2 linked regions of the Astyanax mexicanus genome follow. The protein of the gene in region 1 binds, or shares a complex with, the protein of each later gene. Links are inferred from orthologs where the notes say so. Each region holds a gene or a part of one and is shown on either strand. Other genes may lie near its edges.

Region 1 (7,229 bases):
GCAAAACCATACTGCACTTCCTAATATGCAATTTTTAATTAGCAATACACAGAAGACACTCTCCAGTGGTTTTTATTTTCCAAATTACACACGCAAACACACACACATGGCTGAAGTCCATTCCATCTTTTGAAATTGTTGTTGTTTTTTTGTACAGTAGTCACAGTCTGACATGAGCAGGGTAATGCTTTACATCTAGCAAATGTTTCTGAAGTAAAATTCAGCATAAATCAGTGCACTGTCATGATCTGGACTGATCTACTACAGCAGGGGTATTTAATTAGGATTCAGTTTGGTCCAGTTACGCCAGGCTGAGGTCCGGACCGTCGCCATTTTTAACTTGTGTTATGATTTAGTATTGTATACTGTATACTGAAGAAGCCTAGTACTTCTGTCAGTGTTTTATGTCATCAACAACTGAAAGACAAAACAAATTACACATACTAGTATATTTCAACAATATGTATTGTTTTAAATAGACCTGTCACAATAATTACATTATCACCCTATCATAAAATTAATGGAAACACCCTAAATTTATCGAGAATGTGAATCTGTATGTTAACTTTGTTTAAAAATGCTATATTTATTCAATTTGATTGTATTTATATTAGATTTAGGCCTGCCTGTCATTATAATTACGTGAATGGCAAATCATACAATATATGAAGAAATGTTTGCTGAACTTGGCCAAAATATCAGCTTAAAAAAAAACAGTAGTTTTATTTTATTTAATATTATTACTGTATCAGACTTAATTATGTTGTGGGTAAAACTGATGGGGGAAGTTGCCAATGCTTTTTGTACCCTGGGCGTTGCCGTAGTTTTGAGGTAGGGTTGTTTTGGGAGTAGAGAGAGCGCGCCTGCGAGCGAGGGAGTTTTTTTCTTTCTGAGGAGTTCTGATCAGGTGGAGTAAAGTGGAATATTTTGGACTCTTGTCTCGGTTGTTTCTCTTTAATTCCTCCAAGTAACACCGCTCTATTACATTACTGCTAATATGTTTTATAAAGGTAGTATCTTAATGTATTTTTCTGGTGCGCACCATCTGTATTCTCATCTTTTCTCGCTTTATTCTCCCACTTCTCACCGCCTGCTTCGCCTGTGTGGCTCCGCGCGCTCATATCTGCACAGATCTGATTGGTACGGTGGCCGAGAAAGCCCAACGCAGTGCAAATGGAAAAGCGCTGCAAAAGCACAAAACACATCCATCAAAATTACAACACAGGCGCAGCAACTAGAAAAACGCGCAGCAACTAGAAAAACGCGCTGCAACTAGAAAAACGCGCTGCAACTAGAAAAACGCGCTGCAACTAGAAAAACGCGCTGCAAATAGAAAAACGCGCTGCAAATAGAACCACAACACAACGGAAGTGAGTCACAACACAAGGGAATATTCCCGGGGGACCTGTACCAGGTACTGTACCAGCTAAGCTGCGTCTTCAGTAATGTCTCGGACTTCACTATGTGTACAAAGGACAATAAGTGGCAAACAAGGCGTTTTGTGAAGCAGAACTTTTAATAAACATAACTTACTTTTCAGAAGCTTGTTTGCCACTTATTGTCCTTTGTATACAGCTGGTACAGCATCTTTTAAGGTCCCCCGGGAAAATTCCGTTGTGTTGTGACTCACTTCCGTTGTGTTGTGGTTCTATTTGCAGCGCGTTTTTCTTTTTGCAGCGCGTTTTTCTATTTGCAGCGCGTTTTTCTATTTGCTGCGCCTGTGTTGTAATTTTGATGGATGTGTTTTGTGCTTTTGCAGCGCTTTTCAATTTGCACTGCGCTGGGCTTTCTCGGCCACCGTAGCATAGGATTGGCAAAGGAGAGCGTTTTTTACAGCACACGTGATTGGTCAGTAAATTTACTGCGCTGTAAAGCACGTAAACCATAAAGACCATAGGCGTAGGAACGGGGGACATGTCCCACCCAATATCAGAAACAGGTGGATTTGTCCTCCCCCAAACATTATACCGCAGAACAATGGCGTCGCCAGGAGCGAATCGTTTCTCTCAGCTCAGCTGTGTTTTTAATGAGTAGACAGAATGCTGTGTAAATGGAAAATCTCTTAGCGCTAATCACGGAGCCGCCGGTTCAGAAAGAAAGTCACTCCTCTTAAGAGAAACAGCCAATCAGCTCGCTGGTTTTGCGAAGCGCGGAGGATTGCTGTGGAGGATTTGTAATGTTTTCTTTTTAAGGGGTGCAGCGGGGCTGACGATAAAACATATCTGGATATACAGCTATTTTTCTAAAAGAAAAGTAACGGATCTAACCATGTAAACTGTGTTGAGATTATTTCTGATAGATGGTTAAAAATAAACGAATCAAAACCCACAGATCATACCCTCTGTGAGCTTGTGATAGTCATTGTGATTTGTAGATTAGGATTGCAGGATTACTGTAAATTTTAATGAAGAACAATTATTTTAGCTAGCTTAACTACTTAGCTAAAAACTGGATTTAGTGGACAGCCAGACTTCAGTACAATACTTTATGTTGGTAGTTTGAAGCAGTTTCTTATCCCTGATCACTGGACTAAAATTGTGTGTTTTCACCAGATCCAGCTCATTAGCTACTAAACTAAAATCTATTATATTATTTTAAACATTAGGTGATACCTCATCAGTTTTTTTTCTCATATATGTATTTAATTCAGACATTGCACGCATATTGTTTTCTAACAACTGTAAATGTAAAGTGGAGTAACATGTTTAGTTTGTAAAGTGACCTTTACTTGGATGTAACTAATAATAAACAGAAGTACAGAAAATAATGGTTTATTTGTTATTAAAGGTAATTCCACAAACGTTGTTCTAAAAGACTATAATAAGACAATAAACGTTCCACCGCTTTAAATAAACGCTGTCAGAATTAAATCCTTCTCAGTAGTTTATCGGTTTGGGTCCGCATTGTACAACGTCTGGGTCCAGACCCGGACCGCAGTCCGCATATATGTGGCCTAGATCATATACGGTTTTGTTTTATAAAACCACTCCTTGCTGCCCTGCAGAGAAACAGGTTCAATGTTCAGTTTTACCGTGTTAAATATTGCAGGTCAAGAAAGACTTCATTTATTTAATATTTTTTTATAAAGCAAGTATTTATGTTAAGTTAAATCAAGAAAGTTAAATCAAGAAAGACCATATTTTATTAAATATATATATATATATATATATATATATATATATATATATATATATATATATATATATTAAGTTAATTCAAGATAAATGGTCTTTTTATTTTTATAAAAAAAAACTTATTTTTTCAGGAAATAGTTCAACTTTAAATGTCTAGAGATACATTGTTGCTGTTAAAAATGCATTTCTATTAAAGGGAGTATTGGCAAAACTGGTTATAATTTTTATGTTAAGGCGGCAGGAGGTGGTGTCTGCAGCTGCTGAAAGTAACTAATAAAGTAACTTCTAAAGTAACTTAGTTACTTTTAAAATCAAGTAATCCATGAAGTAACTAAGTTACTTTTTAAAGGAGTAATCAGTAATCGGGTTACTTTTTCAAAGTAACTATACCATCACTGATTATATGATACGTAGGAACCAAAGAAAAGTATTTACAGAACATAAAAAATAAACGTGAAAGAAATAAAAGAAATAAATACTCAAACAATAACAAACTGTTGTTTATTCAAATATCCATCAGCAGGACTAAAGGCTCTGTTCCTGCAAGGTTAGATATCTATCTATAACACTGCTGAGTTAAATTTACAAACTCTTAACACTTGGTAGTTTTGTTCACCCGTCAAAGCACACTCGATGTAATGTGTGGCATACAGAAATTGAACACTGTCACTTTTAGAGAGTGCATATACGGACATTACACTCGACATTTAGCATGAAACCACCCAATCTGGCAACACTGCGAGCCGGTGTGCGCTGTTAATTTGAGGTGTCTCTCCATGTAGTTAATTAATGAGGATTAATGTTTGTAAACAGTGTAAATATAGCAGAGATTACTCCATGATCAGCTCAGAGCTTCACTTAACTTAATTCAGTTCAGTGAGTTTATGGAGTTTTAAACATGGCTCAACCCCCACCTGTGTGTGTTAATGCTACCGGTGCTGGCGCCTGATAATGAAACTGAGTGTCCGAATTCACTCCTGTGTACCCCTATGTAGTGCGACACTTTTAAGGGAGTAGGGAGCCAGTTTGGTCACAGCCCACAGCCCCCCCTTCACTGAGTTCTCTCTCGCGGGCTCCCTCTAGCGGGCCTCAGTAATGTTTTGATAGAGGGGGGCTCTGACTGTTTCATAGCAACGCGGGTAACAACAGTGAATTCAGCCCAACTCTGTGAAACTCACCTGTCCTCTCCCTCATTTCCTCTTTTCTTCTGCTCCGCTGAGTTACAGGGGAGATGTCACGGGCGGGCCCGGGCGAGCTGAGCCCCGCTGTGGAGTCCGACAGTCCGGAGGAGCGGATAGCGGCGCGCCGCCTCCGGATAGCCGCGCGGACCGAGGCCAGGACCCGGTGAGTCCAGCCTGACCTTCACTGACTCTTCTTAAACTGAATAACCTTAACATAACTAACTGTCTTCTCCAGAGATCTCCTCTCTGATCCTCTCTGAACTGTGTCTGACAGACTGGAGCTCGGGGAAGAGGCTCAGGAGCAGGAGGAGAACACAGAGGAGCCCCGGACCAGCCAGAAACAAGTGGATCAGAGTGAGAAGGTAATTAGATCAGAACAACCTGATGACTAAGAGGTTTATTAACCCTCAGGAGGGTTTTTTTCTGATTATCTGATTATATCTGTTATTACATCAGTTAACCTAGCTGATTCGTGCAGATATCTCCCACACAAAGTTATCTCTCCGTTTTTTTAAGAACACTACGATGTAGCATCATCAAAAAACCACAAGGTGTCCTTCATGTTGCAGAAAACATTATACAGTACACAGCCATATTCAGCCTTATGCAAAAAGCACCTATTTAAATTAAATCTTTTTGGCCTTTTGTAAACGCCAAATGGCAGTATGAAACGTAAAATATTTAATTAAAGTGTTTGAATGGTTAAACTGGTTGGAAGAGACCCGTAAAAGGTGTTTTTTTCTCTTCTTCTTTTTTGTTGCTGAATGTTCAGTTGCAGAGTTCTGACTTAACTTTACAGCACTTGTTTTTTTTTTACTTATCTGGCTTGTCTAGATGTGAATCTCTTATCAAGTGTACAGAACCTTTGTGCTTATTTACATATCTGTAAATCTCTGCAGCGTATGCTTAAACTGCAAACTGATGGCACAGAGTTAGTGACCAACATCTTGGTGGCAGCAGATGCCAGAGAGACAAAGAGGAGAGCACAGCTAGCGGAAGCACGTAGATTAAGGTAAACACTCAAACACACATCCAGAGATGATTCCACATACTCATATAAATGCGTGTCTCATGATAACACATCTTATGTTAATAATACTGCACAGAAATGAAAAGTTGGAGAACGAGGCAAAATCCAGCCTTGAGAAGTTCGAGGAGGTCACTCAAAATTGGCCTGTGGCCAAAGCAAAGGAAATTCCTCAGGATCTGAGAGATGCTCTGAAAAGCCAGCAGCAGCTCTGCATGCTGATCACTGAAGACAAGAATAAACTCATCAATGAACTGCAGCACGTAAGAAAACAAATGCACACACACATAGATATAACCATGTTTTTGAGAACATTTTTTGGATTATACAGTACAATGGGAGTAATACAGAAATGACAGAAATTAGACTAATATTAAGAGAAGGAAAAAAATCTTAGCTACATTGGAATTAGTAAAATAATGCTCTTGTAAAAGACTTTTGTTTGTTTTCTTTTTAAGTTTGTCCTGAAGTTAAGTTTTAAAATGTGCAAATACGTATATATAATGCATTTGGCATATACCATTAAGTGCCTAAGAAAATTCTTACAATCATTATTCTGCACAACAATGTGTTTATGCATTTTTAAAACACAGTGTTACATTAACAATTGTGAGCTTATTAAAAGGACACTGGTTTGCTTCCAGATTTCTTCTCAATGCTATGATTTAAAATTCACCAGCAGCAGCAGTTCACCTGATATAACTTAATAGAGCAGTGATTAATCAAAGTAGGTACTTTACAAGAACTACAAAGAGTGTTATAGTTCACAAAATTCATAAATCCTCAACCTAAAATATTGTGTCTCAAAATGTGACTAGATGTGACAAGAGCATGTTTTAATGTTATGTTTTGTTTCTAAATGTTGTGTTTTTATACCATGGCGTATAACATCACAGATTCAAAAGATATCATAAATACATTTGTGTTTGTGAAGGAACTAAAATCAAGTGATGACCGTTATGTGAAAGAGCTGAAAAAGCAGGCAGAAGACGTGGATCTCATGAGAGAGAAAATGCAAGAGCAGATGACGTCTCTGATGAAGTTGTATAGACAAGAGCTGGATCTGATCGAGGTGTGGTAATACTTTCTGCTGTTGGGAGTTCAGCAACAAGCATATTCATAAGTCAGCATAGTTCATACATCTAGTAGCTTGGTATCCAACAGTAACACAGGAATCTACAGGAATCACTTGATATATTAATTCTTTCAATATTTTCTATATTAAAACACACAACACAGTATAGATTTAAAGGTTATGGAAAATACAACACTATGCTATTTTTGTGGTCAGAATGCAGAAAATGTTCTTTTGATACTTATATTTGTGAAGATAATGCCCTACATTATATCATTACACCAAATATGTAGTTATCCAGGACTCTTGGACTCACTTATCTTTTTGCCTGGTGATGTTACAGAATTCATTTGATGATGAACGAAAGACTCTGCTCACAAGCAACTTGAAAAAGTGGGAGCAGCAGAGGAAAGAGCGGAGCGACAGAGAGGTAAAAGGCAAAAAGACTTCAACAGCCATTATTTTACTACACAATGCATACATCAGAGATTCAATAATGCTATTGGTGCTAATATACGTGTCTACCCTCTGATTCTATGTATGAGAGAAGCTGGAGCACCTACTGCAGAGGATTAAACAGAAGGAGGAGAATGAGGTTCTGCTGCATCGACTAAGAGTTGCAAATATAAAGGAGTACAACATGATGAAACTCAATCTAGAGACTCAAAGCGAGGTATACTATATTACGCTTCAACTGTTATAGAGAAGGAAGTTTGATTCATTAAACCCTATGTTTATTATAAAATTTTGTCCTAATGCACAAACTATTTGGAAATGTTAAGTAAAAGTTTGAATTTGCATATTTTATGATG
Region 2 (7,112 bases), on another chromosome or scaffold:
TAGAGCTTATATGAGGATAGTAGCGTCTTATTTTGTGTGCATTACAGACAGCAAACAGCATTCATATATTTTTCCATAACTGGAACATAATTCAGGTCTGGGGTTAAGTACAAAGTTAACCGAATTACATTTGCTTTGTTACTGTCCACCACTGAGGGGGCTCTGAGTGGTCCAGCGGGCTAAGCGCTGCCACTATGATCAGGAGGAGATTGCCGGTTTGAATCCTGTTCATGCAGCTTGCCATCAACTACTAGAGCCCTGAGAAAGCACTTTTGCACAATTGGCCTTGCTCTCTCTGGGTGGGTAGATGGCGCTCTTTCCCCCTCATCACTCCTAGGGTGATGTCGATCAGCACAAGGCATCTGTGAGCTGATGTATCAGTTTCGAGTCGCCGTGCTTCAAATATTAAATACTGTCCACCACAGTATTGATAGTTCAGCGTTCATGTTCAGACCTTATGACAGTGTCATGCAGGTGATCTTCACCATCGCTCTTCTTCCTCTCTTCCTCCGTTGCCTGAACCAGGCTGTGAAAAGTGCCACTCTCTTGAATTTCAGCCAGCAGGTCTGAGATCACCTTGGCTACAAACTGCCTGCAAACAGAGTGGGTCATTATTAGGTTCATTATTATATACATCTCCATGTTTCTACACATCTTATCAGCTACACTGAGCAAACAGGAATACTTTGTAGTTCTATAATAAGTATAGACTGTAGTCCTGTATCTGTTTTTCTGCATACTTTATTAGTTTTTGTTGCTATTTAGTGGTGAGAACAGTATTATTTTGGTGGTGGGTTATTATTCTCAGCACTGCAGTGACACTGGCATGTTGCTGGTGTGTTAGTAGTATTTGTTGTGTTGCTGGTACGAGTGGATCAGACACTTTAGCAGTGCTGCTGGAGTTCTTAAACAATGTATTCACTGTACTTCACTCTATTAGACACTCCTCCCTAACTGACACAGTTTGTAGATATAAAATGCACAGTTTGTGTTCATCATTCACTGGTCCTTTACTTCACAGGACACTGATACGCTGCCCACAGGATGTTGCCTACAGGATGCTGCCCACAGGACGCTGCCCACAGGACGCTGCCAGGATGATACCCACAAGACACTTTTTTGGATGTTCTTGGTTGATAGAATGTTCTCTCTCTACCAGTGATGCTAAAATGTTTAAAAACTCCAGCAGCACTGCTGTGTCTAATCCACTTATACCAGAGAAACACACACTATTAACACACAACCACCATATTTTTATTGCATACAATATGATATGGCACATTATGGAAGTCAATGATGCAACATGTCATGATACAAATAATCATTAGCACTCTAAATATCTAGGACTAAAGTAAAATAAAAGATACTGGCCAGATATAATCTGTATGTAGTACATATTTAATGGAAAATAAGAACAATGTGAATTTTCCATTTTTTACAAATTGCAAAAAAAAAAAAAAAAGGAGTATCCTGATCACATCTAAAACTATCACATTTTTATTTATTTTTTTACATTTTAGTGATATTATTACGCACAATACTATGTGTCAAACCCCAATTCACCACCCAAATAAACAATGTCTACATTATTATGGAGGAAGAAGAATCAGATGTAAGTGTCTGTACCTGTCTCTCTCCACTTTGGCCAGATTGTTGTGGGAGGATGAGCTTTCCTCCAGCGTGCGTCTGAGCTGGTTTTGGGACAGATGAAGCTCTTCCACTGCCTCAGAGAGTTCAGAATCATTTACCCGACTCTTACGCACAGTCTTCAGGTGACTCTCAGCGGCCTGGTGCTGTTTAATGATCACGCTGATATGTGCAGCCTCTGCCTGCTCAACAGTACAGCACAGGATGAGTTAGAATGTTCTACAGTTATTGTTATAGGTTATATTTATTTATAGTTAAAGGTTATAGTTATAAATTACAGGTTACAGTTATAGGTTATAGTTATAGGTTATAGTTGACAGTTATAGGGTACAGTTATTTGTTATAGGTTATAGTTATAGGTTAAGGATAAAGTTATAGGTTATAGTCTATAGGTTATAGTCTATAGTTTATTGGTCATGGTTACAGTTTATAGTTATAGATTATAGTTTATAGGTCATGGTTATAGGTTATAGTTATAGGTTATAGTTATAGTTTAAGGTTAAAGTTATAGGATAAAGTTTTAGGATAAAGTTATAGGTTATAGTTTATTGGTCATGGTTATAGGTTATAGTTATAGGTTAAAGTTATTGGTTATGGTTAAAGGTTATAGTTAAATGTTACAGTTATAGGTTACAGTTATAGGTTATAGCTTACAGTTATAGGGTATGTTTATATGTTATAGTTATAGTTTAAGGTTAAAGTTATAGAATAAAGTTATAGGTCATAGGTATAGGTCATGGTTATAGTTTATAGTTATAGGTTAAAGTTATTGGTTATGGTTAAAAGTTATAGGTCGTGCTTATAGTTTATAGTTAAAGGTTATAGTTTATAGTTATAGGTTAAAGTTATTGGTTATGGTTAAAGGTTATAGGTCATGGTTATAGTTTATAGTAAAAGGTTACAGTTATAGGTTATAGTTATAGGTTATAGTTTACAGTTATAGGGTATAGTTATATGTTATAGTTATAGGTTACAGTTATTGGTTACAGTTATAGGTTTATAGGTTATAGTTATATAGGCTATAGTTATATGTTATAGTAATTATGTTTTAAAGTTATAGATTATGGTTATAGGTTATGTTTAGTTATATTTATACTAGAACAGAGCTGTGTTAAGCCCCACTCTGCTCCTCCAACAGCCGGTTACAGACCTCCTCAGCCCCCGGGCGGCTCCTCCGGTTCTTCGGCATGATGTGTCCCAGAATGTCCAGCTGGTCCGCACAGCGCTCCAGAACCGCGCAGACCCGGAGCCGGTCCACTCCCGAAACCCGGCACGACATAATTCTCCCGTTCAGCCACTGACAACACCGAACTCTGCAATCTGCGCGCTTTACGCACGTTACCCCTGGTAACGCGACACACTGTACGCAACTAACGTATCGGCACGCGCAACGTGGTGAGCCTGCGCACTTAGTGCGCTCACCGCTGGAGGAGACCAAAATGAATGGGAGTTCACTAACTAACTTACAAATTATTTACTTACTTACTTTCCCGGGATATTCATTTAATTTTAAGTATAATAAATTATTTTGTTATTTATAAATATAAAAATTGTGATTAATTTCAACACAAAGAAATCACTGTAAAAATTGAATTACATTAAATTACTGTAAACTGCTAGAGGGAGCCCGGGATGACATGTATTTCAACTTGCATTTTTATATTTTAATACACTTATTTAGTGACATAATTCATAAATTTTAATCAGAATTTTTATATTCTGAACGTAAGAGGTGGCCAAATAGGGGCTACTTGTCCGAGATATTCATTTAATATTAGAAACTAGAATCAAATATTTAGATACAAGCAAAATAAACTTACCTGTATGTTTATGCTGTAGAGACGCAAGCATCACGGCTACTGTGAGCTGATTGGTTGGTGAGCTAAAGCTGGAGATGCATACAGGTATGGTTTCTTTCCCTTTTCCTTCTTTTCCTAACAAAATACTCTATTCCACTGACTAAAATTAAACAATAGGTAGTCAGACACTATTTATTCACCACTAGTAAATGTGGGTGAATAGAGTAAAATGGTTATATTCTGAATTTATGAGGTGGCCAAATGTGCTGCTTAAAAATACATTTAAAAGTAACTTAAAAAAGTAGTTCCATACATTTTTAAATGTAAAAATTCAGATTCCTAATTCTGATACATACCTTCTACAAATATATCTACTGAATGTATTTGTATTTCTGAGTTTTGAATTAAATAGATTTGGATTTAAGGATCTGCATGTATCAAATCTGAAAATCGTGAGTTGTTCATTCTTTCAACACCATTTTCTTTTCGTTCAACACTCTTGTCATTTTATTTGAATACATTTAGCACTAATTATTTAAACACGTTTGGTAAGCTTATTGACCTTTAACCTACATACACATGTGAATCTAATTATGAGAAGAGGTAAGGAGTTAATTGCAAGTTTTTCTCCTATTTTCTCATCTTCTCTGAAGAGTGGCATCGTGCACCTCTCAAATGACCTGAGAGGTCACATCTAGATAAAAGTCATTATTGTTATTCTGTATTTTACATTTACGTATTTCATAGTAGTACAGTAGTAATATGTCTTTTTTTTGCACTGTGCTGTTAACTCTCAGTAGTATGGTATACTGACAGTACCTGAGTGTGATTAAGTCAGAACTGCTGCATGTATCTGCTGTAGCAGCAGAGGGCAGCAGGGTATGAGGATGGAAGCACAGAAGAACAGACCGAACTAAACGAGCACAGAGCTGATCATCGATCCATTAAACTCTACTAATCAGTGATCTACCAGATGCACCTGCACACACCTGACACACAGAGACTATATATAAAGCTATAACAATACAAAGATACACTTTACATTTGTACATCTGCACTTCTGGACACTAGCCACACTACTAAATACATATATGTGTATGTGTTTATTCAGAATTCTCATTAACTGCTGATACCTGCTGCTGTTCCACACTGTATATTCATTATTGCACTGCCTTCTTATGTTAGATTATAATGTCTATCTATCTATCTATCTATCTATCTGTCTGTCTGTCTGTCTGTCTGTCTGTCTGTCTGTCTGTCTGTATGTTAATCAATGTGTCTGTATATTTGTCTGCCTATATATCTGTCAGTCAGTCTGTCTGTCTGTCTGTCTATCTGTCTGTCTATCTGTCTAATAATCTGTCTGTCCGTCAATCTATCTATGTTTGTTTATCTGTTGGTTATCTGCCTGTCTTTCTGTTAATGTGTCTGTATATCTGACTATCTATTTGTATATTTGTCTGTCTATATATCTGTAGGTCTCTCTGTCTGTTTATTTTAGTTATATGCCTGTCTGTCTGTCTGTTTGTTGTTCTCTAAACAGCCACGTGGCGGCAGGACCCTGTACATCCTAGCTAGGCACCCTAGTTAGGCATCTCGCGCTGCTGTTGGGACACGGCCCGGCGGGGCCTCGCTCGATGTCTCTCGGTTGGTTTGTTTGAGTCTGGCTGTATGATAAGCGCGGCGCTCCCCCTCCCTCAGCCGAGAGCGAAGCAGCGCAACGGGGAGGACAGAGCACAGAGGCTCCCGTCTGAGAGATGGGCTCCAGCGCCCGCGCGGCCGTACCCGGTATCAGTGAGAGCGCGTCGGGCAGTGCGGGGGAGCGGCTGAGGAGCTGCTGGCAGGGTTAGAGCGCTGTAGCGGAGTTTAGGATGCGGGAAGAGGAGGAGGAGGACACCGCGACGTCTCCGCTCCGGATCTCCAGGACAAGATGGCAGCAGCAGCAGCAGCAGCGCAGACCCGAGAGCACGGAGTGAGGCGGGTTTAAGAGTTTAAAATGTTCGGAGAAGCGTCGGATCTGTCCAGCTCTTCCCCTCCGTGAAGGTGAGGCTTCTCCCGCAGCCGGACCGCCGGCCGCCCCGCAGCCCGGGGAGAGAGAGCCGCTGCCGGAGCGGGTCAGCGGAACACAGTTAGTGGGGTTACAGAGTTACAGCTGGAGCTGCGGGTTAACTAATTTACAGTCTGATTATTTAATCATCTGATCTGATCTGATCTGATTAACAGCTGCAGTCTGATCTACAGCAGATCAGATCAGTCTGATTATCCTGAGTGGGACTCTGTACAGGGATAGTTAGCTAGTTGGCTAATCTAACTTAGCTGCTAACTCTACCCGGGGAGGGAGTAGTTACAGGCTGGGGCTCAGCGATACGGACGCAGTGCTCTATATCGCGATACTGTAACACGATATCTGTTCACGATACTGTAATCATACATTACTGTAATACGATATGGGATCACAATACTGTAACACAGTATCTGTTCACAATATTGAATCGCAATTTCAGATCACGTTCCTGTACTGTAGTCATCACAATACTGTAATCATACTTTACGGTAACAAGCTATTATGATGCAATATCATGTTACAGTAACATTATTTCAGATCACAAAAACTGTACTACAATGCAATGTCTGATCACAATACTGCAACACCAATTCGGATCACAATACAGTAACACAATATCAAATAATCTTACTTTACTGTAACATGATACCAGATCACGATACTGTAATGCAATATCAAATCATCAGACTTTAGTGTAACACTGTCAAATCATCATACTTAAGGGCAACACTATCAAATCATCATACATCACTTTAACGCAATATAAAATCATCAGACTTTAGTGCAATGCTATCAAATCATCATACTTTAGTGCAACGCGATATTGGATCATGGTACTGTAATATGATACCAGATCACGATACTGTAACAAGATATTGCATTAGTGTTATTATGCAACATCATGTTACAGTTTCGTGATCTGGTATCATGTTACAGTATCATGATCCAATATAGCTTTACAGTAAAGTATGATGATTCGATATTGCATTACAGTATCATGAGCTGGTACCATGTTACAGTACCATGATCTGATATAATGTTAGAGTATCGTGTTCCAATATCACGTTACAGTGAAATGTGATGATTCGATGATACCAGATCACAATACTGTACCTCAATGTCAAATCATCATACTTTACTGTAACATTTACCAGATCATGATACTGTAATGCAATATCAAATCATCATACTTTAATTTAACACAATACCAGCTCAGGATACTGTAACATGATACCAGCTCACGATATTGTAATGTATTATCGAATAATCATACTTTACTGTAATGCAATATTAAATCACGATACTGTAACATGGTACCAAATCATGATACCGTAATGCAATATGGATTCATTATACTTTACTTTAACAATTATTATAATTTAACACTTATATTTTGGCGCAGTAACCCTAAGTACAAGGGCTTGTTGTAAAAAAAATGAGTAAAATAGAACAGGATTAAACACGAGCAGTTTGGCAACACTGATGTAATTCAGTATCAGTATCACTCTCAGTGTCAGTTGGGGGTGGGTGTTGGACTGAATGCTTTTATAGGAATATCTTAGTATGAACATCATCAGTAGGGGAGGGCCCTAAAATAATGA

Evidence for each region. The genes of interacting proteins can lie anywhere in the genome.
Region 2: drc1 (region 1) and iqcg share a complex: the UniProt entries of both Homo sapiens proteins name them as parts of the nexin-dynein regulatory complex. The link is inferred for Astyanax mexicanus from reciprocal best matches to the Homo sapiens genes DRC1 and DRC9.

What each region holds. Positions count from the first base shown.
Region 1 is NC_064408.1:51,791,832-51,799,060, reverse strand, and holds the start of drc1 (dynein regulatory complex protein 1), read left to right. Parts: upstream 1-4,215; 5' UTR 4,216-4,365; coding exon 4,366-4,478; intron 4,479-4,589; coding exon 4,590-4,677; intron 4,678-5,214; coding exon 5,215-5,327; intron 5,328-5,421; coding exon 5,422-5,605; intron 5,606-6,276; coding exon 6,277-6,414; intron 6,415-6,760; coding exon 6,761-6,847; intron 6,848-6,967; coding exon 6,968-7,090; intron 7,091-7,229. UniProt on the Homo sapiens protein: Component of the nexin-dynein regulatory complex (N-DRC) a key regulator of ciliary/flagellar motility which maintains the alignment and integrity of the distal axoneme and regulates microtubule sliding in motile axonemes.
Region 2 is NC_064416.1:10,718,160-10,725,271, forward strand, and holds the start of iqcg (dynein regulatory complex protein 9), read right to left. Parts: upstream 3,023-7,112; 5' UTR 2,927-3,022; coding exon 2,798-2,926; intron 1,830-2,797; coding exon 1,627-1,829; intron 593-1,626; coding exon 455-592; intron 1-454. UniProt on the Homo sapiens protein: Component of the nexin-dynein regulatory complex (N-DRC), a key regulator of ciliary/flagellar motility which maintains the alignment and integrity of the distal axoneme and regulates microtubule sliding in motile axonemes.